Linked DNA regions of Tamandua tetradactyla. The protein of the gene in region 1 purifies or fractionates together with the protein of each later gene. This does not show direct contact. Links are inferred from orthologs where the notes say so. Each region holds a gene or a part of one and is shown on either strand. Other genes may lie near its edges.

Region 1 (6,921 bases):
CAGAGAAAGGAGCATGTGTTCTGGAAGCCTCTAGCATACGGCTATAATTGCCAAACGCTGTGGCTGCTCGCGATTACACATTAGCCAAAGTATGCTTGTCATAATCCCCTTGGTCTGAGGGCTCCTTCAACCCCGGGCCCAGATGGCAGAGTGTGCCCCCACAAGCGGGATGACCAGGTTAAACAGTTCCCCTTGTCTACTTTCCAAAGCCCGAGTTTGAAGAGGCTACGTGAAAAACGCAGACAAGTTGACAAGCAGCTCCACCGTCTAAGGGGCTTAGCAGACACTCCAGTATCACTAGCACGAGGCCGCCAGCCACCTACCCAAGACGTGGCCTTTAGTTTTCTGCCCACGACCAAAACAGCAGTAGCTGTTGCCAAGGGAAACAAGGTGACCCAGAGACGCGGGCATGAAATCCGCGGATGGAAATCCATTCTGTCTGGATCCAACCAAGAAACTGGGCTTCCCTAACTGGGAAAGGATAAACAATAAAAATAAAAAAAAAATAAAATAAAAAAGTACCTTAGCAATAGATCCTTGCCAGGCAGGTAAAAGGTGCCCCAGTCCTTAAGAAGGAAAAAGCTCAGGAGCAGGTTAGCCCGAACTACCAAGTGTTGACACGGCTCAGCTTTGGAGGGCTTTGGAAAAAGAAAAGGCAGGCCAGAGCTATGCCTCTCCAGAGGACAAACTCTCACCAAGGCAAGAGAAAGCCAGGCTGCTTCTCCAAACTGCAACCTGCCCGAAGATTAAACACGAGCACCCTTATTAAAGGAAGCACCAACCCCCCTTCAGTCCCCCCACCCCCCACGTACACGCATAACAGTGATTTAAGCATTCTGCAAATAATTTATTCAGAACCTTCAGAGTACAAGGCAGCAAAAGAGCACCAGATATCTTTGCCCACTATGTCAAACCTTTTCACCTTTCTCCTCCAAAGTTTTCTCAACTTTAAAAATGAGAATCTTAAGCATAACTGCTTTATCTATTTTCCAGAGGGTTCTTTCTCCGAGAACCTCATAAAACCATGTGAAAGTGCTTTGTAAATTGTGAAACACTTTATATAGCTGCTTGTTGTTACAACTGACATCATTTCTCTGCTGTAGCCCATAAAGCATTTGTCCTTGATGTACCTCCACAAGTAAGGAGAAAGCAGGTTTTGCAGACCCCTCTCTAGGTCGGGGAAGGATGATATCTAATCCCATCAGAGGAATAAAGAGGAATTAAAAAACCAGAGCTGAGGCCAGAACCCAGGTGGCTCTGATCATCACATCACACCACCTCCTCTGAAGTCAATTCTAACTTCCAATCACACACCCAGAGCGCACTTCCAGACAGCACACCGCCTTCCCTCCCCCTTTACTGACTGGATCCACCCAGTTTTTTTAAAAAAATTATTATTTTTAAAGTCAGCACTCCCACCATATGTGGCATTTATTTCCAAAGGAGGCCTGTCCTGGGTTCCCTTGGACAGATGTTGCTTTGTGCCTGCCTGACCCGGCTGGCAGCCCCTGCACAGCTGCCCCAAGCAGGTGGCCAAGGATGGAGTCCACTCCAGGCCCAGGAGCAAGGATGAAAATCCCTCCCAGAATCAGGCCCTGGGGCTCCTCAACTTGTTCCTCTGCACTCCACTCCCTTGGCCTTGGTTCAGAATAAGATTTCAAAGGGGTCTGGGAGGGAGAGACAGGAGGCCAAGGTGGCCCCCAGCACCCCATCCCAATTCCCAGCCTAGCATAGATAAAGGGAAGGTCGTGGGGAGAGGAGAGAAGTCACTGACCCCTTTCTATCAGCCATCTGTGAGCTCCCGCCCGACCCAGCTTGCCCGATGCGGGGGATAAAGGAGGTCCAAACAGATGGCAAAGCGCTTTGGGAAGGAGGGCTCTGCAGGAATGCGAGGGCCGATGGAGGCCCACTTCGGGTTGCGTTCTGTTATCTGACCGGCTCTAGCCCGCTCTGTGTTCTGCTTCACCCCGCAATCTCAGACTGAAAAGGAGAGCAAAAGCAGTCCGGGATGGGAGAGGGTAGGACAGGAAGCCCCTACTCTCTGCCACTTGTCTCTCCCATTTGAAAGTCAGAGCACTGCACTGCAACTTAAAAGTGCATGCTTGCGGAGGGGGCGGGAGGCTGGCACAACCGAGTCTAAAAATACTCGATAAAAATGCTAATCCCGAAGGCAAAGAGAGAACGAAGAAGGAATCTGTCAATCACGAGGCTCCCGCTCCTCACCCACAGCCCCAGCTGTACGGACTACATTCCTGTTAAGCAGGAAAGAAGAGGGGGCACAGGACTGAGGGGAAGAAAGGGAGAGACACCACCACCTCCACGAGCGCGGGCCGCGGGGCGGGAGGCGGCGGCGGTGGCGGCGGAGGAGGGGCTCGGGCCCGCCGAGCCGAACAAAGCGGGCCTCAACTTCCAGCCCGCAGCAATCCGGGGTGGGGGCGGTCAACGCCAGCAGCCCCACCCCCACCCCAACCCCTACTTTCTGAGCGGCGAAAAGCGCACGTGAAGTCTGGAAGCGAGAGTGCCGTTTGAAAGCATTTCTGAATAACTGCAAATTCAGAGAGGGTTTTGCTTGGGGGTCCCCCATCCCACCCCCCTCCTGTCCGCGCTCTCGCTCCCCCCCCCCACACACACATACACACACATACACACACACACACACACACACACACACACACACACACACACACACACACCATGCCTCTCCAAACCCACAGAGCCGGCCTCTCCGCGCCAGGGGGCTGGGCCCGGCGCGCCCCCCAGGCCCCCCAAGCCCCCACCTGGGGATGGTGATGCACTTGGTGTTGACGCTCTGCGTGGTGATGGCCTTCTCCAGCTCGTCCAGCTGCCCCGTCTTCTTGAGCTTCTTGACGAGGCTCTTGACCGCCTTCTCGCACCACTTCTCCTCCTGCCCGTTCTGCTCGCCCTTCTTCCAGCCCAGCAGGCGCTTCACGATCGGGGGGGTGAAGGGCAGGATGGACGACATGGCTGAGGGGAGGCTGGGTGGGGGTCAGGGCGCGGGCGGCGAGGGGCGCCCCCGGCGGGGCTGGGCGCGGCGGGACGCCGGGGGCGCAGAGGGGAGCTCTGCCCGGCCGGCCGCGGCCGCCCAAACTTCTCCTCAACTCCGGGCGAACTTTCTGGTGCGCCGGGCTGGGCCGCGCGGCGCTGCAGCCGGCGGGACTCGGCGTGCGCCCCAAGCGGCTCCCACGGCTGGCAGAAGGGGAAGGAGGCGGGCAGGAGGACGGCAGCGGCGCCGGGTCGGGCAGGCCCCGAACGCCGGGCGGAGGAATCGGCCTGGAGACTCGAGTGGCTGAAAAAAGTTTGGGTTTCCGCACGGGGTGGCTGTTTGGGTGCCGCCTCCGGGAAGGAAAAGTCCGACCCCTGAGCCAAACTTTGCTCTCCTCGCCGGCTCTGACGCGCAAATCCCTCGGTCTCTCGCGCCTCGCCTCCCCAGTTTCCCTCCTCCTCCCTGCTCGCTCGTTCGCTCGCTCGCTCGCTGGGCCGGCCCGGTGCGTGCGCCGCGCTCCCGCTCCCGCCCGCTCCCAGTCTGTGTTTCATGCAAATCCGCGTGCAGCCTCCTTTCCAAACGCTGTCACCGCCCCCTCGCCGCTGGGGCTCCCCGCCTCCTTCTCCGCGCCCCGCCGCCTTCTCCCCCGGGCGCCCTGCCCGCCCCTGGCTCGGGGAGGGCTGCCGGCCTGCCCCCGCCCCGCGCCGAGCAGGCCCACGTGGGCGGCCGGGGACCGCGGCGGCCCGGGGCTGGAGCGCGCGGCAGTCCGCGCGGCCCCGACCCGAGGTCGGGCGGGCGCGGGTAGGAAGTCGTGGGAAAGGAACAAGAGGGGGCCCTAGGCGGGAGGGCCGTGGCGTCCGCTCTTGGAACCCTCTCCCGGGAAGCTCAAATGAAGTTGCGGCCGGGGGAGGAGTAGACCCGCTTCAAGTTAGCGCCGTCTGGCCCGGGGCTGGCGATGCACCCCTGGAGACCCGGGCCCGAGAGGGGGCGCACTTAAGGCTGAGGCCGGCGAAGTCAGGACGTGCACTAGGCCAGCCAGGCTGACCACGGTCGGGGGCCTCGCAGGCAGGCTGGGAACTTCTAAAATTCACTCACGGGTTCGGTCACCCCGGGTGAGAGCCCTAAGCCTGTGTGCGGAGGCGGTAGTTGAGGGGGGTAGAAGATGACTCTTGCAAGTGGAGATTTGGGGAACCCAGTGACTCCCTAGGCTCTATCAGGAGCCAGGGATTCCTTGCACCCTGTGAACCAAGTGCCAGACAGAAAATGGGTTTCAAAGACATGTATCGAGTACATGAAGGAGTGAATGGGGGCGCTTTGAAATTTAGTTTTGATATAAAAAAAAAAAAAGTACACATTACAGGTCGTTGTGAGCTCTTATGATAGAGAAAAAAAAAAGATCTGAAATTCGACACCCAATAAATAGAGGGTGAAAGAGCTTTGTTTCCAAAGCCTGAAGTCATAAGAAGTGGGGCAAATGGGGAGTACTCCAGAAGTTTATGTGTTCAGAGTTAGCCTTAGTGGAAAGCAGAGAAATACCGGAGGTATTGGAGAGACCTGGGGTTTTTCTCCTCACCAGCAGAATTCAGGGGCCTCTGACCACAGACCCCTCAGCTGCTTTCAGGAGTTACCCCGGTTCCCCAAGGCTATCTCCTTCTGTGCTTCCCCTATCAGGCTCATAGCCTTTGTTTGTTTTTAACAGCAGGAAACCCCCGTGGTGAGAAAAAAAAAAGTTAGCGGCAAACCCTCAAGCAGGTGGGGAGTTACAAAGCCCAGCGAGGTGTGGCCGAATCCTCAAAGTCAGCCCAAGAGCTGCGGGTTCCGCAAGCCGGTCAGCAGCTGCTCCTGAGCTCTACACTCTTGCCCCCCCTCCTCCCTACTCCCCACCTGCTTGGAGAAGCCCTGAGCTCCCAACTGAGGCTTTGCAGCCTGGTTCACATTGCTGGCTGGCCCTCCTGCTAACCCTGTGACAATCACTGTCCTCTTAGGTTCCACTCCCTCGTTCTCAGCCCTCAGTTTCCCCATACAAAAAGAGAAGGAAGGCAATCAGCCTTTACTGATTGCTTTCTTCATTCCAGGTGACTCAAGAGCTACCCTCTGATTTAATAATCTTCACAATTTACAGAACCAGAACTGGAAGCACAGAGAGATGACAATGCTTGCACAGGGTTCCAAACTACAGAGCTGGGATTTGAAGCCCAGGCTTTGTGAGGCCTCAGTCCGCATTCTTTAGCTGCCTTGCAGAGTGGTGGAAGAAAGCGACATCATTGATAGAGCTCTTTGCAAAACAAAAGTCCTTTACACAGGTGCACTGTTGTGACACCGCAAGAAATATTTGCTTACCTACAAAATGGGATTAGAAATAGCTTTCCGCTCAACCTCCTAGGAAGGTTGTGGGAATCTAATGTAAATTGCAAAGGGTCAAGTGTCATAAAGGAGTAGAACTGACATCTTGGGGCCTTTGCGAACGCCTTCAGAATGGTGTGGATGAGGGAGTCCAGTTCAGTAAGATAAGCATTTATTTGGCCCCTCAGTGTTGCAGTCCTTCTACTCAGTTCTGAAATGTGGAAATGAAAGTAAGGGTCCCTAACTTCAGGGAGCTCATGGTCTAGAGAAGCATGAGGAGTGAGGAGTTCCTTAGTTGGCAAGGATGGGCAAAAGGGAGGCCTTTGCAATAACCATCTCCCAGGAAAATGTTCATTTTAACCTGGCATCAAATCAAACAGGTCTGACTATTGAGAGGCAGCCAGGTAAAGTGAAAGGAGCTGAGGCTCCATCATCCACTAACCTGGTTTTGGATCCTGGCTCTCTCTCTCTCCCTTTACTGAGTGTCCGTTCTCTGAGCTGTAAGAATGGAGCAAACAGTACTTGCTGTGCAGAGGATCTGAACATGGTAGAAGGGCCTGACATGAACCTACCCCTTCTGGGAGCTCCCTCTAAAATCACAGCATCAGAAGGGGCCCTCGTTCAGCCATTTTTTCATTTTCCTGAGAGGAGGAAAAAACTACTGGATAGCTAGTTAGTGTGGCTGAACCGTGCATGCTTCCCTGTGCTTCCTCCCTCAACATGCCGGCATCCGTATGACAGGGACAGCTGCTGTGCATGCAGAAAAACAGTCCTGGACTGTGTGAGTCCAAGTGAGGCTTCTGGGCTCGTTCTTTCTGCCCTGGCCTCAGGTTCTCAGAGTTGGGAGAATAAGTCCGGTTTCACCTGGTGCTGAGCAGGGGTTAAGAATTGATTCCCCCTAGTATGAAGAGGACCTTGCGTGCTCTCTTTGCTTTTGGTGGGGATGGGTGGGTGGCTCTGGACGGTTGGGAACTCCGTTCTGGCGCCTGGACTCCAGGGGCCCAGCCAGGCCTGCTTTTGCAAAGGTCATCCTTGGAAGAGAAACATTAGCCCAGTTAATTTTTCATCATGGTCAGTGCAAAGTTCAAGAGAGGTGGGATGGGGGTGGAGGCAGCGACTCTGTTTCCCTGGGAATGGTTAGTCCTATCAGGGAGGAACTTCATAAGTAGACGTGCCAAAAGGTTTTCATGTATTTGGAGTGGCTCCCAGGTGGAACACTGGAAAGAAAAACTGACTTCGATTCTGATTATTTTTTCCATTAGCCAAAGGGTATTTATCAACAGATTATGAATCTAGAAAGAGCATTAGAATCACTCTCCTCCAGTGCAAGCCCCTCCTTTTACACAGATGGAAAGTGACATCTGGTGAAGAGAGATGATTTGCTCTATGGAGGTGAGTAGCCAGCTCAGGAGTAGAACTTTCATCAGGCTGCTAGGACCTCACCTAAGAAAGCCTCTGTCTGCAGCCTGACCTCTCTCTACAGCCCACTGTAGCACTTTGTGAGCTCTCCTAGGGCCCCAAACAGATGTGTATTACATACACTTCTAGCTCTGTCCCTTCTAGCTCTGTGATTT
Region 2 (7,802 bases), about 9.5 Mb from region 1:
GTTCTGGAGCAGCTAGAAGGAAAAATCTGAGATGATGGTATGGTGGACCATGACAAACTCTGGGATCTGTCCTATAACTACCTGTTGAAGACTGCTTTGAAAACTATTGCTTTTTCCTTTTTTTGCTTTGTACGTATGCTATATTATACAATAAAAAAAGTTTAAAAAGAAAAAAAAAGGCACACCCTAAACAATCCATAGTAGATCCAGTCTCTATCAGATCCTGTTTCATTTTCTTCCCGGCACTTACCACTACCTGAATTTATTCTGTTTATGTCTCCTCACAACAGAGGGCATGCTCCATGAAGGCAGAGTGCTACCTTCACTGATGAATCCCAAAGACCAAGAACATTACCTAAAACATAAAACATTCAATAAATACACACTGAATGACTAAATACTAATGTAGTACCTCTACTTAAAATTTAAGTTCAGGGTGCACGGGTGGTTCAATGGTAGAATGCTTGTCTTCCATGCAGGAGATCCGGGTTCAATTCCCGGACTATGCACCCCCCAAAAAAATTAAGTTCAGCTCAGAATTTGTTTATAAACATGTAGTTCACTCCTCATGCAATGGTACATATCAAGCATCTGCGGAAAACAGGGCCAGTTGTTACCAAGAATCTCTAGGATGCACAAGACAAAGAACAGAGGTATAAAACATCCAAATGCAATTCTGGACTTTTACTGAACAATGATTACAAGTTTCTGAAAGAAAAAACATTCAGGATGATATTAAAGAACATTACTAGGAGTAATATTTGAGGACCCTATTAATGAAGGCTGTTAGAGCATGAGTAGTATCTGCAATAGGACAGTAGTTTCATGTGGAACAACAAACACGGCTTCATCCTAAGTATTTTTCTGATATATATACATAATATGAAGGAATTTATACTCTGAGCATAGAATTTCCTTCTGGGGATTTGATTGTGATGAATACAACAATATATACCAAAAACACCTAACCTTAAAACAAATCTAATAAAGAGATTAGAGAAAACCAGAATTATCTGTCCCAAATTTCTCTTTTTAACAATTGAGAGTGATCTGAAGCCAACAAAGATTAGCAAAACAGTCAAAGGTCTAATGGATAGCAAAACCAGATGTAAAAATCCTGATCTACTGTCTCTCGTCCTATATTCTTTCATAAGACACTGTCCTCTGAGAATAGTGACGTCATTATAATGTATTTTAATTGTTATTATTTTTAGGACTGTCATTTTTTTTTTTCCTATTCGAAGTCTTAGTCCATAGTAATCTTTGATTACTTAGTCCTTAATCAAAGTAAGGGCACATATTATTATGCCTTAAGTAAAATTTGGTTCAATTCAATAAATTTTTCATTCCACATGTTAAAATGTGAGTAAAAATGAAAATAATTCTATTTAAGCGCATTCACTAAAAATTTCTTAGCTTTAGATGTTAAATTGCTGTTCTCTTGTTTTAAATATGAGTATAGCTATTTCCCAATCAGGCGGAAAAATTGAGAATAGACTTACTACCAAAGTGAAAGTCACCAAATCTAGAAATTTCAAGTTATAACCTCTACATAATAAATTTTTCATCAAAACATATTATTTGGATAATACCTTTCTCCAAGATCTAACAGTTTTTAGTGAAAGAATTATGTGGCCAAAAAACACCAAACAAAAGGGAAAAGGTAACAGAAGAAAAAGGATCTACCTAAGACAGAAACTCTACTCTTAAAATTTACCAACAATATTGTTCAAGCCAATTGAAAAACATCCCTCACCAATTCTTAGAATACTACTACAAATATTAAGCGGCAAACAAAAAAATGACCAAGCAGAGATGATAAAGTCATTTGTCCAAGGTTAAATGGCAAGACAGTGTTAGGAACCAAATAAAGGCTTTGTAAAAAAAAAAAAAAAAAAAATCCTATTCAAGACTCTTTTCAGGGTAAAGGGGTTGCTTTCTTCCTATCCCATCTGGTTTGTCCCACAAACGTAGACAAAGACTACTATTTAGTATGAAAAACAACATGTTTTATGTTGACATGAAAATTTTTAGTAAGGATTGTAAACTATAGAAACGTAGATCTTCATCTCTAATTAAGCCAGGTAAAACCCGTATTGTAGAGCTTCTAGGTAACATCAAAATCACATTCTAGCATATGAATGCAATGACATAAAAGACAAAAATGGCAAAGGCTAAGATAAGGTAAGGCAACATTAGGCTTATCTTTTCCCCATCCTGTACTTTTTGGTTGAAGAGGCCCGTAAAACAAGAAAAGTATAAAATATCAAGCGAAATAAACTTTGAAGTCAGGTTGAAAAGCAGTAAGAACTCATATAAAACGAAGCCTATGTCAGCTTGTATCTTATCACTCAAGAGTTCTAAATTCATAGTGCACGTAAACCAAGAAACAGGAAAGCTTACAACAGTGCAGTGGAGTCACCCCATACTACAAACACCAACAAAATAAATGAACACCCTATACTTCCTGGTATTTTTTAAACGTTAAAAATTACCCTTGCTTTAAGAAGCATCTGCAAAAATCTACCAAAACCTATTTTAAAACTATTGTGGGAAAATCTCTCATCCTGCAATACAGAATAGGTATGTCCACTATAGCACAGCTACTGACTCTGGTAAATTATCTAAGGGCAATAATAAAAAAAATCAAGCTTCTTTTTTAATGATCTACAAGTCAACTCCACACAAATATCTGACGCGTCTGTATTTCGGCTGTTCCACGGACTATGTTTCCTTGATCTCACAAGAAGGCAACTCCCTAATCGGCAGGGTTGACCTAGCGCCCTCCAACTCCCTCAGTCCAGGTTACCTTCATCACTCCATTGTCAAATTGTACTCTCACGCCTCAGTCAAGAGCCCCCATCATAAGACTAGGGAGAGTCAAAAAAGGAAAGAAATCCCCTCATCCATACTCCCTTACTCTGGGGTGTGGGTGTGTCTGTACACATACGCTTTGCCCGAATCCAAACTCAGACCCCAGGCCACCATCCCGCGGGCAACAACCCGCCGGTCGCCGACCCCAGCCGCAGCCCTTCCTCTTTCTCGCCTCCTGGGCAGCCCCTCCCCCGATGCGCGCACGCGCGGCCTCCAATCGATCCCCTCCCCCCGGCCCCTCACCTTAGTCATTAGCCACCCTCTTCCCAGGGTCCGGGAATCACTGGCCCAGGAAAGAAGACAGGAGATGTGAGGGGGGAAGGGAATGCGTCGAGAGCTAGCGATCCGCGACTCAGATCTCGGCCTAAATAGGCCCCTGTAGCCAAGAGCAGCGTCTGTCACCGCCACCAAAACTGTAAGACCGGCAATGCCTGGGCTCGGCCCAGTCAACCCGGCTTGGGTTTAGAATGCCTGATTTCGCCCCAGAGAAACTCCTTCTCCAAAGATGCGGGCGTTTCTATGCTGCGCAAATCGAGGACCTCGATACCATCGCCGCCACTGCTGCTGCTCCACTACCGCTGCCGCCGCCGCCTAACCAATCCCTCCTCTACAGAACGAGAACGACACTTGGGTCCTTTACGACAGTTCGGAAAGTGAGAGCGCAATAGCCTTCACGGCTCCATTAATAGCGCTTGTTTCTGCGCTTGCTCAGATTCTTGTTTCCCACTGTCCCGCCCCCTTGCCCCGCCCCTCCCCCTTTGTAATCACTTTACCAGTCTGTTGGCGAAACCGAACGTGTCACAAAGCTCATTATTTTATTTTCCTTGGTGATTGTGTGTTCAATACCTAGGTAAATTTTTTACTACCTCTTTGATAAATCTTTTGTAACTAAAAATTGGACTAGCCACAAAATTATTGACTATACCTACGGTACACTTAAAAACAGCATGGTTTGGTGTCTTTCACGACCCGTGATATCCAAATCATCCGCGCTAATGGCATAAAGACCACGCACAGCACCTCACTGTGCGAATTATTAAGGCGAATTTGTTTCCGGAATCAGATTAACAGTGGTAATAAACGTCCTGGGAACCTGGCTGTAGCTGTACAATCACATAAGCCTTTTTATTTAATTATCTTATAAAATGAATAGATAGCACATGCTTCATTATGTGCACTTGGAGGATGTAGGGAAAGAGCACCAACTTAGAGTCAATCAGACAGACTTCCCCTTCAAATTTCAATGATGCCACTTAACAGCTGTTTGGTTTATTAAATATTTGTAAATCTTAGTTTCCTTCGTTATAAATTGGGATAGCATTATTTACCTCAAAGGGTTCGTGTGAGATTAAATGAGACAGTTTAATTAATGTCCCTAATATTACTTACCAGTTAAATGTTCAATAAACATTAATTCCTTTGCCATCAACTCATCTTTCTCAATACCCTTTCCTTTGTTCACTCATGTTGTCCATATTGCTCAGTGAAGATATCTTTAAAAAAGGGGGGGGCAGCAGATGTGTAGGGAAACTAGAAGAGCAATGGACTAGGATTCTTCCTTAATCCTCTTATTTTCTCACTCTAAATACACATTTTTGTCTGAACTTTGAAAATTTTTTCAAATGTGAACAAAAATACACATTTTTGTCTAAATACAACTATTTAGTTTAGTTGTCTGAACTAAAACATGGTTTTAACTGTTAATGCCTCATGATTTCTCCAACCCATATGTACAGCCCTAATCTTTCATCTAAAGCTTTAGACCTGCACTCTCTAATATGGCTGTTGAACTCTTAAAATTGATCTAGTACAAACTGAAAAGTGCTGTAAGTGGAAATTTTACATCCAATTCCACGATGTAAAGTAGATTATTTTTAGAAGACTGTAAAATATCCCACTAATTTCTTATAATGAGTACATGTTGAAATAATATTTTGGATATGCTGGGTTAAATCAGTGGTTCTCAACTGGGAACAATCCTTGCTCACCACTCTCCACTCCCATCCACCCCACCCCCACATCATTTGGCAATGTTGGACATTTTCTGTTTGTCACAACCAGGGGAGATTGAGGGGAATGCAACTAACATCTAGTGGGTAGAGGCTAGGGATGCTGCTATGCATTCTGTAATTCACAGGGCAGCCCCCCAAAACAAATTATCATCTGGTCCAAAATGTCAGTAGTAACCAGATTGAGAAATCTTAATGGTTTAGAAAAGATTGAGCAATGAAGTTAGACAGAGACAAGTATCTTTTCATGAAATTGATAGTAAATGGAAGAATAAAGACAGACACATCTAACAGAATATGGAGTCAGAGAGGCACGATTTGAATCCTATTGGCCTGCTTAAGGGAAAGAGCCAGTAGAAAAGAGAGGTGAAAGATAATAGAAATAAAGGAATGCTCAAAGGAGAAAAATCCCTATAGAGGCAGAGAAACGGGATTCAAAGCTCAGGTGGAAGAATTAGCCATGAATGGAAGGGCCACCCCTTCCACTGAGACAGTTTAGTTTTGGGGGGCAAATTGAGGGCTTTCGGATAGATTGACCTTGATTTTCTCTATGAAACATGAGGTAAGGCCATCTGCTAAGATTTCACGTTTGGAAATGGCTGAGTGGTCAGATGAAGACAGGGAAGACAGTAAGTATATGGGCAACAAATCAAGGGCAGGAAACCCAGAGTAGAAACACAGTAAGACTATGAGAGAACAGGTGCCAAAAAGTTGTATTTAGAGATATAATAGCTAATTGTAGGGGTCAGAGATATCGCTAATCTGAAATGGACACAATATTTTCCTGATTTCTCTGTTTCTGCTCCTTCCATTATCACCAAATGAACTACAGACCATTGTCAAAATGTTGGAAAAACTGATCAAGACACTAATTTGCTTAAAATCCTTCAGGAACCCTCTGTCTTCTTTAGAATACAGTCCTAAATAGCTTGCCAAATAAAGTATTCAAAATCTAAAATCTCACTGCCATTTCACATCACCGCTGTCACCAGCCTACACTCCTGCCCTTACTTATACTTGAGCAGACTTTTCAGACTTCCTGTAGATCTTAGAAAAAATGTACTGTTTCATTTCCCGCTGCCTTTGTACTGACCGTTCTTTCTGCATCAAAGCACTCTACCCCATTCCTCTTCATCCCCCACCTGCTTTATCTGCCTAGCAAACTCTTATCCATTCCTCAAAACCCTCCCCCATGAAATAGGAACACTCATACACTGTTAGTGGGAATATAAAGTGCAGTCACTGTGAAAAACAGTTTGCAGTTCCTCAGATTGTTAAAAACAGTACTACCATATGGCCTGGTAATCCCACTTATAGGTATATACCACAAAAGAATTGAAAGCAAGGACTTGAGTAAATATTTGCACTCTGATGTTGATAGCAGCATTATTCACAATTTCCAAAAAAATCTGTGTCCTACAACAGATGAATAATAATTCATCTAATCATGAATAGTATATTTTAAAAGTGTAATATATACATTCAATGGAACATTATTCAACCATAAAAAATGAAGTTCTGATGCATGCAGCAACATGGATGAACGTTTAAGACATCATCATGCTAAGTTAAATAAGCCAGTTACAAAAGGACAAATATTATATGATCTCATTGATTTGAAATAATTAGAATACGCAGATTCATAGTTTCAGAAATTACCATACAGGAGACGGAGTCCAAAGTGAGAGTGGAGAATGGGGAGTTAATGATTAATTGGTAGAGTTTCTGTTTGGATTGATAGAAAAGCTCGGTAAAAAATGGTGGGGACGGTAGTACAACTTTGTGAATGTAATTAACACCACTGAATTGTATATTTGAAAGTGGTTAAAATGGAAAATTTGAGTTTGTTTATATGTTAAAAAATAAAAAATTTTAAAAAACTCATAGAACTGTACAACACAAAGAGTGAACCCTAAAGAAAACTGTGGACTATAGTTAATAGTATAAGCATAATAATGTCTCATCAGCTGTAACAAAGGTACCACACTAATGCAAATGCTAATAAGGAAAACTGTGTGGGAGTGTATATAGGAAGTTTTTACTTTTTGCCTGATTTTTTTGTAAACCTAAAACTGATCTAATAAAAAAAAATTATTTTAAGTGAAACAAAAAAGTCTGTGGCAATGGTGACACAGTGGCAGAGTTCTCGCCTACCATGCTGGAGACCAGGCTTCGATTCGCAGTGCCTGCCCATGAAAAAAAAAAAAAAAGTCCTTCTCCATGAAGCATTTCCTTGCCACTTTCCCCACCCTGAGGTAGTTAATAATCACTCCCAGTCCCATACCCTCTTCAATCTTGGTATATCCTTCTATTGTAAACAGTATAAATTTTATATACAACTGTCTCTTCCAAAAAAAACTAAAACCAAGAAAATTTGTCTTTTTATCCTTGTAGAAGAAGAGCACTCAATAAATTTTTTAATGAACTGAACAAGGAGACCGGGGTTCAGTTTTGCCACTAAAAAACTAGGAATCCTTCATTTTAATTAAATCATTTGAACTCTCTGAAAATTAATTTTACTCATCTGTGGAAAGATCAGGGGGATCCAACACATTCTTCAAACCAAATTTTGCCTACCTGACATGCAGCAAAATAATATTTACCAAATTAGCCTGCATACAGGGAGTGACAATGCCTAACTACCTGTTACGCAGGAATTTGAGGAGTTGGGTCCAAACGTGAAAATGCTAAGCTGAATTAATGGGTCACCTGCAATAAAAGGATAAAAGGACAATTTTTACAAATCACTTATATCAAAAGGGAGGATTGGTATCCCCACCATCCACTGCAAACTTCAAAACTGTATAAAGTTTGCAAGTTAGGGCAACTTACTATGTTGCCAGCTTTGTGAACTCTTTGGAAGAACATGAAGCAAAGTTTGCAGATTTAACGCAATGAGTTAAGTGAATCTTGAGAACT

What was found.
Region 2: the proteins of SMAD3 (region 1) and RNF111 purify together in Homo sapiens (affinity purification with western blotting; 5 studies listed by BioGRID). This does not show direct contact. The link is inferred for Tamandua tetradactyla from reciprocal best matches to the Homo sapiens genes SMAD3 and RNF111.

The regions. Positions count from the first base shown.
Region 1 is NC_135340.1:84,248,013-84,254,933, reverse strand, and holds the start of SMAD3 (mothers against decapentaplegic homolog 3), read right to left. Parts: upstream 3,013-6,921; 5' UTR 2,984-3,012; coding exon 2,778-2,983; intron 1-2,777. UniProt on the Homo sapiens protein: Receptor-regulated SMAD (R-SMAD) that is an intracellular signal transducer and transcriptional modulator activated by TGF-beta (transforming growth factor) and activin type 1 receptor kinases.
Region 2 is NC_135340.1:74,778,002-74,785,803, reverse strand, and holds the start of RNF111 (E3 ubiquitin-protein ligase Arkadia), read right to left. Parts: upstream 3,023-7,802; 5' UTR 2,989-3,022; coding exon 2,921-2,988; intron 356-2,920; exon of another isoform or gene 298-355; coding exon of another isoform or gene 257-297; exon of another isoform or gene 251-256; intron 1-250. UniProt on the Homo sapiens protein: E3 ubiquitin-protein ligase. Required for mesoderm patterning during embryonic development. Acts as an enhancer of the transcriptional responses of the SMAD2/SMAD3 effectors, which are activated downstream of BMP.